2 linked regions of the Drosophila melanogaster genome follow. The protein of the gene in region 1 purifies or fractionates together with the protein of each later gene. This does not show direct contact. Each region holds a gene or a part of one and is shown on either strand. Other genes may lie near its edges. The genes, in order: Pgam5 and dmrt99B.

Region 1 (3,500 bases):
GCGCCACAGCGTGATCTCCTGTTGTTTGAAGTAGCGCCGGTCCTCGGTGTCCATCAGCACAAGGTTGAGGAAATACTTGACTGAGAACTTCTTGTTAATGTCCCGCATGGTCGGCGTGAGATTGTAGCCAGCAAGAAAGACCCGGATGGGTATGCTCTCGCCTTTGACGGGCGCTCCGTCCATGATCTCGTACTTGGCAATCGTTTCGTTTTCGTTAAACATGGTGGGGCCCGTGCCCGTGCTCTCCTTCTTGATGATCGCAATCTCCATGTGCTTGATCTTAATGCGCACCAACAGGAAGTAGATCTTGCCGATAATCGTGTCCCGCAGGTGGTACTTGCTTTTGTTATACTCGAATTCGATGTGCAGGCAGTCTTCGATGCCTACCTCCATCTTGATGGGGTTGTTCATCTCCGGGTAGCTGCACAGTGTGTGCACGGCGATGTCGACCTCCTTCGTTATGTCGCTGATCCGCCTGACGATGGTTGCGCGCAGGAAGTACCGCAACCGCACGTTCGAGCCGGCGTACACCTCGAATTGCTTCTCCACTTTGGGGAAATCGAATGGATAGCTGTTGTTCTGGATGAGATCGCCCGGGCGGGCCAGGGCCTTCGCTAGACACTTGAATTCGTGGTGGTTACCCCGGTCGTAGTACAGTTCGATCTGGCCAATGAATTCGATCTTAATGCCCTGGTGCTCCAGCTTGCTGCCCGGCTTCTTGAGGGTCACGTTCACCTGGATGAAAAGGGGGTGGATATGGGTTTATCTCTGGTTATGCTTGGGGGAACTCCCCCCGATGCTGACCACGACGCACCTTGCCGGATACCGTCTCCCCGTCGTAGAATAGCAGCATCTTCTCCACTTTGCCGTCCTCCCCTTTAACCTCTGCCGTCTTGTGCTCAGCTCCATCAAAGACTATCTCAATGTCCGCTGACTGGCCGAATCCCAGGAAATTCATAATTGATAAACGTCGAATCGGCTTCTTCTTCTTCCGTTTCTTATTGCCCCCGCCTCTGCTTCTTGCTGCTCCGATGGAATGTCGACGCTGTGACTCCTGTTGGCGGCTTTTCCTAGAGATATCTTTCTGATAACCCCTTCAATAAACCTCAGCTTTGATAGGCGTTTTTCTGCGGCCTTTTTACGTCCTTCGTTCCGATGCTGGCGTATCTGTCGCGTCTGTGTGTGTGAAATGAAAAAAATTGCAATTTTTCACACTACGGCGTTGCCATATCGCGTCAACCTGATTGTTATTAAGGAGTGCCAGCGCTGGTACTTTTCAGTATTCAGTATTTGCATGGTATTTCTTTAAGAAACACATACGGAATAATTAACGAAACAATTGATTGTGGATCCTTAATTTTCTTGGTATACAATAATTGTGTAAATATATTTCGTATTTTTGATTCATCTTGGTAACTTTTCGATAGTTGAATTCTAAATGGTCTTGCGCGGTATTTATATACCCGCTAACCTAGTATGTCAAATACCAAATCGCAGTATTTAAATACCGCACTTATTCAGCGGAACAAAACTAAAATTAAAGAAAATACCTAAAAGCCCTAACGATGCGAAAGTTGACTAGCTTCGTGTGCGGCACAGGAGCCGGACTGGCGGCTTACTACCTACAGCGGCTGCGGGACCCGCAGACGGTCGTGCAGAACTCGTGGACGCACAGTGATAAGCCGGTGGATCCGTGGGCCCTTTGGGACACCAACTGGGATTGCCGGGAGCCACGGGCCCTCGTGCGTCCACTGCGAAACAGCCAGCCGGAGGAGGAGAACCGCTACAACGCGGAGCTTGAGAAGGCGAAGGCCAAGAAGGCGCGCCACATTATCCTAGTGCGGCATGGCGAGTATCTGGACGTGGGTGACTCGGATGACACGCATCATCTCACGGAGCGCGGCCGCAAGCAGGCGGAGTTTACTGGGAAACGGCTCTGCGAGCTGGGCATCAAGTGGGACAAGGTAGTAGCCTCCACAATGGTGCGGGCCCAGGAGACTTCCGATATTATTCTCAAGCAGATCGATTTCGAAAAAGAGAAAGTGGTGAACTGTGCCTTCCTGCGTGAAGGAGCGCCTATTCCGCCCCAGCCGCCAGTCGGCCACTGGAAGCCGGAGGCATCTGTAAGTCAAGTCAAGGGTCAACCCAGTGCGTATTCCACATGATATTCGGCTTTCATTTCACTGCAGCAGTTCCTTCGCGACGGATCGCGCATAGAGGCCGGCTTTCGCCGATACTTCCACCGCGCCTATCCCGACCAAGAGAAGGAGAGCTATACCCTGATCGTGGGACACGGCAACGTGATCCGCTACTTTGTCTGCCGAGCCCTGCAGTTCCCCGCCGAGGGTTGGCTACGGATTAACATTAATCACGCTTCCATCACCTGGCTGACCATCAGTCCATCCGGCAACGTGTCCATCAAGTACCTGGGCGACTCCGGCTTTATGCCCGCCGAGCTGCTTACCAATCGCATACCGCGCGACGTCAAAAACGTGGTTTAGCCGTCTGTTTATAGAACTGCCCAAAGGAGAAGCAATCATAATGTATTTATTTCCAACACTTTAACTGAGACCTTGAGCACAGATCGCGAGACTGTGTAAACCACCATGTACATTTTGCCGCACCGTAACGTATATCTCTTAAGGAGGAATCATTGAATCTTCCGACTGAAATAATAAAGATTTTATAGAATGCCTAACATTTTATTGAGAATCCTTATATGTACAAAAGAAGCCATGAGGAGCCTAAACCCTGCTCAAGACCTTTTGGAGTCGCTGCAAGCACTTGCGTATGCCCACATCTTCTCCAGCGCCGCGTTTTAGCTCCACCTGCTCTGCCTGCTCCCTTATAAAGGATAGGATGGGAGCCACTAGATCCGGCGCCAGCTCTGCCAGGTTGATCAGCATCTGGAAGTAAAAGTAAGTGCAGTGGGCCAGGTGCTTTTCGGCGAGGGATCGCAAGTGATTGGAGCACATATCCCTGACCGCCTGTGATCGCTTGTAGGCATCGTGCGATATAAGCACTTTATAAAGTCCAAACACTTGGTTGCGACTGAGGTCCACTTCGTCCACGAACATTACGTGTTCCAGCAGCGGGATGTGCACGCCGCGCAAAACGGTTAGCAGCTGTTCTTCCTGCTCTTTGCCAGTGCTCTCTATCAGTTGCTGCATTATAGTGATCACCAAGCCCGCATGCTGTCCTGCCCTCCGCCGCTGGACCACCAAAAACTGGGTAACGAGGAGCTGAAGCACAAACTGCGCCAGCTCTCCATCTACATCCGCCTGGAGGAGGGTGGCATATGGACGGGCCACCAGCTTGGCGTTGGATGAGAAGCTAAAGTGCGGCGTCCAGTGCTGAACTAGTTGCTCCAAAGTCTTGGCCACGTATGCGTCCGTGCGGTAAGGCAGTCGACCAATGCCTTGCAGCAACACTGGGAAAATCTTGTGAACCACTTGTGGAAGGCGACCTTCGGGCGGCACTCCTGCCTGCAACTGCGTGGT
Region 2 (6,977 bases), on another chromosome or scaffold:
AGTTGTCATCGCCAGCGCTGCTCAACTAATTTGCATATTTGGTCGCAGTAAAAACACTTTATAAGTGGCCACCCAGGGCAGCAGCCTGCGTGTGTTTGTGTGTAGATGTGAGTGTGTGTACATAGGCGCACTTTAAACAAAGTTAAAATGCGAGAAATTGGCCCTGCGCAAAACACCAGTAGCTCCACGGTAACAGCAGCAGCAGCAGCTTCTGGCCATTTACTGTTGCCAACAACTGTGACCTGCCCAAAAAGACGATGCCAGCGGAACTGGAACTGCCCCCTATTTCCCAGTGTGTGTGTGCGTGTGTGTGTGTGTAGAGGTCCTTAGGCAACTCGCACACAAGCACACGCGCGCAAACACCGACACAGACAGACTGGAAACTTGTTTCTTTTGGTCAACTTGTACAACATTGTTGCCGCTTTATGTTCTTCTATTTCTACAGCGTGTGCGTGAGTCCTATGGCTCCTCCTCTTTTCGTGGGCGGAGTCTCCGCGCGAGAGAGCGAACATCTCTCGGAGAAACGAAGAACGTCAGAGAGAGAGAGAGAGAGGCGCGCGCAGCTGCCTCTTTCGCAGACGCGGCTGTCTCGCTCGCTCAGCACGAGTGCTCAGTTTGTTTCAATTGCAATTATTTTGTAACATTCCAATAGGCCAATAGACCCAACCCACTGGCCAAAAAAAAGTTAAAAATTACCTAACGAAAACTCTCATTCCGACGCAGCGGGATATGCGGCACATTATGTAAAGGACTCTTTATGTAAAATGGGTTTTGTTCTTTTAAATAGATTAAAGTAGCAAATTGATATCACATTGTATATCCTTTTAAACGCTATAAAAGTTAATATACGTTATGATTTTCTGTTAAATACCTATCTTTATGGTTTGTTTCTTGTTTAACATATCATCTCATGTCTATACTTTTATGCAGCTGTAAATAAGTAATTATTATGCCTCTGTTTGTCAATTTTGTTCATGGAGATTTCAACACTTGAGACATTTGAACAGCGGCAGCTGGAAATGAAAAGCAAGTGGCGATGTGCCACAACCTAAGGTAGAAACTTTAGTTTTTCAAAAACAGGGGCCTGGGAATTTTAGATATCCCCCCAAAACCCCTCGAAAAGCAACAACTGCGCTGCCAACTGTGTCAGTTGAGTGTGTTTGTATGTGTGTGTGTGTGTGTTGGCCATGCCAACCAGCGGCGAGGTCGCAACAACAACGCTTTTGGTTGGCTATTCCATTAGCCCAAAAGCCGAGAGCCCCAAGCGCTCACGCACACAGCAAGCCGCTGAGCAGTTGAGCAGCTGAAGAGCGGCATAAAAAATAATTGTGAAACAAAGGCAACAAAGAAAATGAAAGAAACCCCAAACAACCACCAGAACAGCACCACACCACCGAAGCACCACCACCACCACCACCACCACCACTACCATGGCAATTCCCTTTGAGAACCAACCAGTGCGGAGTGCTCTCCCGCCACATTACTCATACGCCGCGTCGCCGCCTCGAGTGCACAATTTTGTATACAGTACCAAATTAGATTTGAAACTTTTTTCTTAATTGCCAACCCTCCGCCGTCGCAGCCGGCGTCGCCGTTGGCGCAGGCAGCGACGCCGACGCAGGCAGCTGCGGCGCACAAAGGTGGTTGCAACACTCTCGGAATCGGGGATATATCCCCTATATCCAGTTTGCATGTACATGCCCACGAGCGTATCCGCGCACTTTCAACCCTCGTCAGCCGCTTTTGTATTGGTAAATGTTGCCGCTTGCCGCCATTGCTGAACGTCCGACGTCGAGCGTCGTGCGCTGCGGCCTTTTGGCCAAAAGTTGAATCAGTTGCAATCGAGGGCTCACTGTGTCATGTCGTTAGCGCGCGTGGATTGAATTCGAGAACTATGCGGATATAAATAGTTAAACAATAAAACAATCAAACTACAAGCTAACAACAAACAATTAAATACTAATCAAATAAGCTAAAGTGAAGTGTGTGCTCAGAAGTTTTTGACCTAACAACTAAATCCACATCGAGGTTTCTGATCTTCACGTCGAAATGAGTCTACCGTCGGGTGTGGACATGCAGAATCTGATGTCCCAGCATCCGGTCTTGGGAGCACTGCCACCTGCTTTCTTCTTGCGAGCCGCCTCGGAACGCTACCAAAGGACGCCCAAGTGCGCCCGCTGCAGGAACCACGGAGTGGTAGGTCCCTCGGTCATATACCATCCGGCATCTGGAGATTTTCTTTACCCACTGGATCCCCTTTCCATTTCGAACCTTTTGCAGGTCAGCGCCTTGAAGGGACACAAACGCTACTGCCGCTGGCGGGATTGCGTCTGCGCCAAATGCACTCTAATCGCGGAACGCCAAAGGGTTATGGCTGCTCAGGTGGGTTTCTACTTTAATATAGAAGGAATTACGTGGAAAGAATTGGAATAAATGTTATAGAATGAAGAAGATTGCTGAATTCATCTATATAGTTCAGTTAAAGAGAACCTATGTATGCTTAAAAGCAGGTTTTTTTTTATAGTATAGCATGGAAATCAAGTACTACTTCAAAATTGCAAAACTCCTCTGTTGACTTCAGTTAAAAATCATAGTAATATTAATGCATCTCCCTGTTACACGCCACTGATCAAAGATCCGCTTTCCGCCCATGCCCTCCTTGTTGCAGGTGGCCCTTCGACGCCAACAGGCCCAAGAAGAGAACGAGGCCCGCGAGCTGGGCCTGCTCTACACTTCGGTTCCTGGCCAGCAGAATGGCAGCGACAGTGCTACGCCCACTCCGCACAGCCCCAACCACAGCGGCAGCGGCGGCTCGGGCAGCGGAGGATCGGGCCAGAACGGCGTCTTCCACGGCGGGATTCCCTCGCCACCCAGCGACGGCTTCGAGGCCAGCTCCACTCCCAATCATCACCAGCAGTCGCAGCAGCAGCAGCAGGCGCACCACCAACAGCACCTTAGCCACCCACACCAGCAGTCCCAGCGGTTCAATGGCAATGAATCCGACACGGATGGACGCACCCGTTCCGAGCACCTCAGCGTCGGTTTCTCGCCCACCAGAACCGAGCTGGATGAGAGTCCTGGTGAGTGAAGTAAAGAATACTGCACACAGCTAACACCGGGAGAATATGTGACTGTGTGACTTGGGAAATGAAGTAACATCAAATATCACAGCACATATCTTATAAATTGAGATCTATTCTAAAACCAAGAAAACAGTTTTCCTTGAAGTTCTTCAAATGTTTACTGCTTATGAAATAGCATTACTTCCATTACACTCCATTTCGAAGGACACACTGACTTATTTTGCGCAGTGCAGCCGCTTAAGAAGCCATTCACGCCTGGCCATCTCAAGAAGAGGTCTTGAGAGTCTTGGGGGAGGGCAGGTTAAAAGCGCGTTAAGAAAAATTTGTTTTCGATTGTTCAGAAATCAGCGGTGCATAAAGTGCCACACTCGCGGTTGCATGTGCATTTGGCTGCGTGTATGCAAGTGGCGAAGTGGTGCTAGTGAGCGGGGCATAGGTGTTGTTTTGACAAAGACTTAGCCAGCCAAGCTGCAGTCGTGCACTTTGCCAAGCGGCGCGTGAAAAGGTCCTGGGGTTGCAGCCAGGCCAGGACATCAAGGGGCGCAAATTGCAACAATCGAGTTAAAGTCCTCGTTAGGAGGAAAACACTTGATTTAACGTGGTGCTCATTTCAGGGAAGGTTTTAAAGGCAAATAACTTGAAATTTCCGACAAAAATGTTCCATTACATCATATAATATCAAATGGCAAACTCTGAAATGCTGGTCGTCTCAAAACACTTGTGTGCTAGAATTTTACTCTTTTTCCCACAAAAAAACCCTCTCAATAGCTGAACAATAAAAGTTATTGTAACATTATCCAACATTATTTGTTATTATCCGAAATAAGCCAATCAATTCCAACCAGATCATCTCAGATTGCCCTGCCATCGCAACTCAAACCACTGGCCCATTAAACGCCAAACAGTTGCAAGTCTGTCGAGAATTTGAAAGGACCTTCGACCCCGCCTGCTTATTAGGACTATCGGCTGTGCAGATGGGGGTTATTACCCATAAGGTAACCCCATGCCAAGGGTTCTGGCAGGCCAGAAACGTGAGATACCCCCCCTGACTCAGCTCACTTGTCTTTATTTGTTTGCCCTTTCGGAGGAAGTGGTTTTTTCCAGCTCGAGAAAGAAAAACACAGCAGGATTCTCACGCGAATCAATCGGGAAAACCTGTCTATTTAAGTACCGGACTCTATTATTTGCCATGAAATCCAAGACGATTTCACGCTTGAATTTTTATTTTCGACTAAAGAGTGCGGCATTCGAGTTGGGTATTGGTATCCACGCACCCTCGACTTAATTAAATTTTTACTGCGGCTTCGTCAACTGCAAAATTAAACAGACTCGCACAAAAATATCATATAGCTTGTTTCATTTGTGGAAAAAAACAGCAGGTTGTCCCTCGTTGGCATGTCAACATCGCATCCTGAACTCCCTGCTCCTTCCACCGCCTTTGTTTGCGATGCCCCTGATTAAATTCCTTCCCATCTCTACACTTGATACTTTTATTTGCTCTAAGCTGCCAAGTGGAAACTGTGCGGTTTTCCACTGGCTACCTGAATCGCTTCGTCGATGGAAATCGATACCTGCGATTTTGGGAAAAACAATTGCTCAATAGGAAGTACACACTCTCGTAGGAGAACTATTACAAGATACTACTCTTAATGCATTTACATATCAACTGGCGACTAATCTGTATATACCTTCATTGTATTCCTTGCTTGCAGTGTCCAAGCGCGGAGCAGCCCTGTCGAACGAGACCGACCAGGACACGGGCTCCGAGTCCGGATCGCCGAGTAGTCCCCGGCCCAAGGTCGCCGGACTGTTCAATCTGACCGCCAGCTTGTCGCCCGCCCGCACTGGACCGCCCAGCTCGCCGGAATCGGATCTGGACGTGGATTCGGCGCCGGATGAGGCCACGCCGGAGAATCTCAGTCTCAAGAAGGAGGACAGCCAGTCGCCGCCCAACACGCCCGCCGAGAATCTTCATCTGCTGCGATCCTTCAGCAGCAGTCATGCCCAGGGCTTCCTGCCATATCACCACACGCAGTTCCTGGCCGCCGCCGGCCTGCCCGCCCACCACCACCCAGCGGCACACTCGCCGCACCACCAGCAGCAGCAACAGCAGCAGCAGCAGCAGCAGAACCACCTGCCACAGCACCACCAGCAACAGCAGCAGCAGCAGCAACAGCAGCAGAGATCGCCCATCGACGTCCTGATGAGGGTGTTCCCCAACCGACGGCGCAGCGATGTGGAGCAGCTGATGCAGCGGTTCCGTGGCGACGTGCTCCAGGCCATGGAGTGCATGCTGGCTGGCGAGGATTTGGGACAGACTCCGCCGCAGGTGCCGCCATCGCCGCCCTTTCCCATGAAGTCCGCCTTCTCCCCGCTGGTGCCGCCCTCGGTTTTCGGCTCCCCCACCCATCGCTACCATCCCTTCATGCAGGCGCACGCCAAGCGATTCCTGACTGCTCCCTACGCCGGAACCGGCTACCTTCCGGGAGTGCTCAGTGCGGCGGATATCGAGCAATCCGAGTCCAACGGAGCGGGCGGCATAGGGTTGGATCGCACCAGCAATGCTGGCGACTCCCAGGATTGAGGCATCGAGGTGGAGGCCAGCGGCGCATCCGTCTTCAGGCCTTTCGAATAAGGTTCCCACCCCTGCTACACTGCGGAAAAATGTGAACACTTTACGAGTCAAGAACACAATTCTTAACTTCAATGAGTTTTAGAGCTCTCGTTTGTTTTTATAATATTTTCAGTCAGCTGAAACCATAGAAGTTTTTCATTGCAGAAAGAACTTTCTTGATTTTTGAGCAACTGTTTCTCGCAGTGCACGTCCCGCAACTAAGTGTAAATTACATTTGCCCTCGACTCTTAGCACAAGTATTGTAACATAGAGACCGTATAAGTAAATAATACGTTTAATGAATTAAAACTTAAGAAAAACCATACACTCGATCCCAGTTATAAGAAGTATTTGTTTAGCTGAAATTAACATTATGACGATGATGAGATTATTGTGTAAGCGATTGTTGATTGCAACCAACTAATTGAGATATCCGTGTGTACCATATGAATATGAGCATATATATAATTATATTAAACATCATATTATGTCTTAGATAAAGTACATTTCAAACACTGTGTTAAAGTATTTAATAAATCTACAAATAATTCAATAAAATAATGAAGAAATTAATTCGATGCTATTTTTTTGTCGGGGAATATTGGTGTTTTTTTTTCCTACATGCATAGATAGATAGATAAGATACATCTTCAGTCTGCAAATGTACTGATGAATGTGCTGAATAGCCCAATTATAGTGTAATTATTTTGATGAATGCATAATGCATTCCAATTAAATCGTTTGGGCCTACGCTAAATGCCTGACTAATCAGATCAATAAATAAGGATATTTAATACAAAACTTCCATTGTTCGGAAATCCCTTAGTCCGGGTCATAGCTGGGTAAATAAACAATTTTCACAGCACGTAATGTATATTCGTGAGAAGTCGACCGGATAACAATGGGCCGCCCACAAGCACCCCAAAGAAATTGAAATACAAATAGGAAACTACTGCGATTATAGAGGCCACCCACGATTCGAAATTCAAAATTCCCAACTGGTCATCACGCGATGGCCAAATAATAATGCGAAGCGTTAATCCGTATCATCATTATCTATTTGCCACTATTTTGAGGGCAGTGCCACAAGACCCCGGAAAATCGACGGGGAAAACTATTCGGCAGGGCTGTGTGCGGAAAAGTGTGAAATCCTTTTACACACAAGCGGTTCGAACTGTTTTTGTTTTCCCCACTCGGACACACGTCGCACGATAAACAAAATTATAATAAAACTAATACCCACACACATGACCAGCACATTGCCAGTGGTTCTACAATGG

The links.
Region 2: the proteins of Pgam5 (region 1) and dmrt99B purify together in Drosophila melanogaster (affinity purification with mass spectrometry, with the first as the bait; one large-scale study listed by BioGRID). This does not show direct contact.

What each region holds. Positions count from the first base shown.
Region 1 is NC_004354.4:1,871,596-1,875,095, reverse strand, and holds Pgam5 (phosphoglycerate mutase 5), read left to right. Parts: upstream 1-1,530; 5' UTR 1,531-1,565; coding exon 1,566-2,123; intron 2,124-2,189; coding exon 2,190-2,501; 3' UTR 2,502-2,696; downstream 2,697-3,500. Other genes in the region: Vps26 (vacuolar protein sorting 26), read right to left, coding at 1-735, 815-958; CG14803 (uncharacterized protein), read right to left, coding at 2,745-3,500. UniProt on the Drosophila melanogaster protein: Displays phosphatase activity for serine/threonine residues, and dephosphorylates and activates Pk92B kinase. Has apparently no phosphoglycerate mutase activity.
Region 2 is NT_033777.3:29,690,758-29,697,734, forward strand, and holds dmrt99B (doublesex-Mab related 99B), read left to right. Parts: upstream 1-1,833; 5' UTR 1,834-2,049; coding exon 2,050-2,196; intron 2,197-2,280; coding exon 2,281-2,382; intron 2,383-2,668; coding exon 2,669-3,080; intron 3,081-4,795; coding exon 4,796-5,667; 3' UTR 5,668-6,268; downstream 6,269-6,977.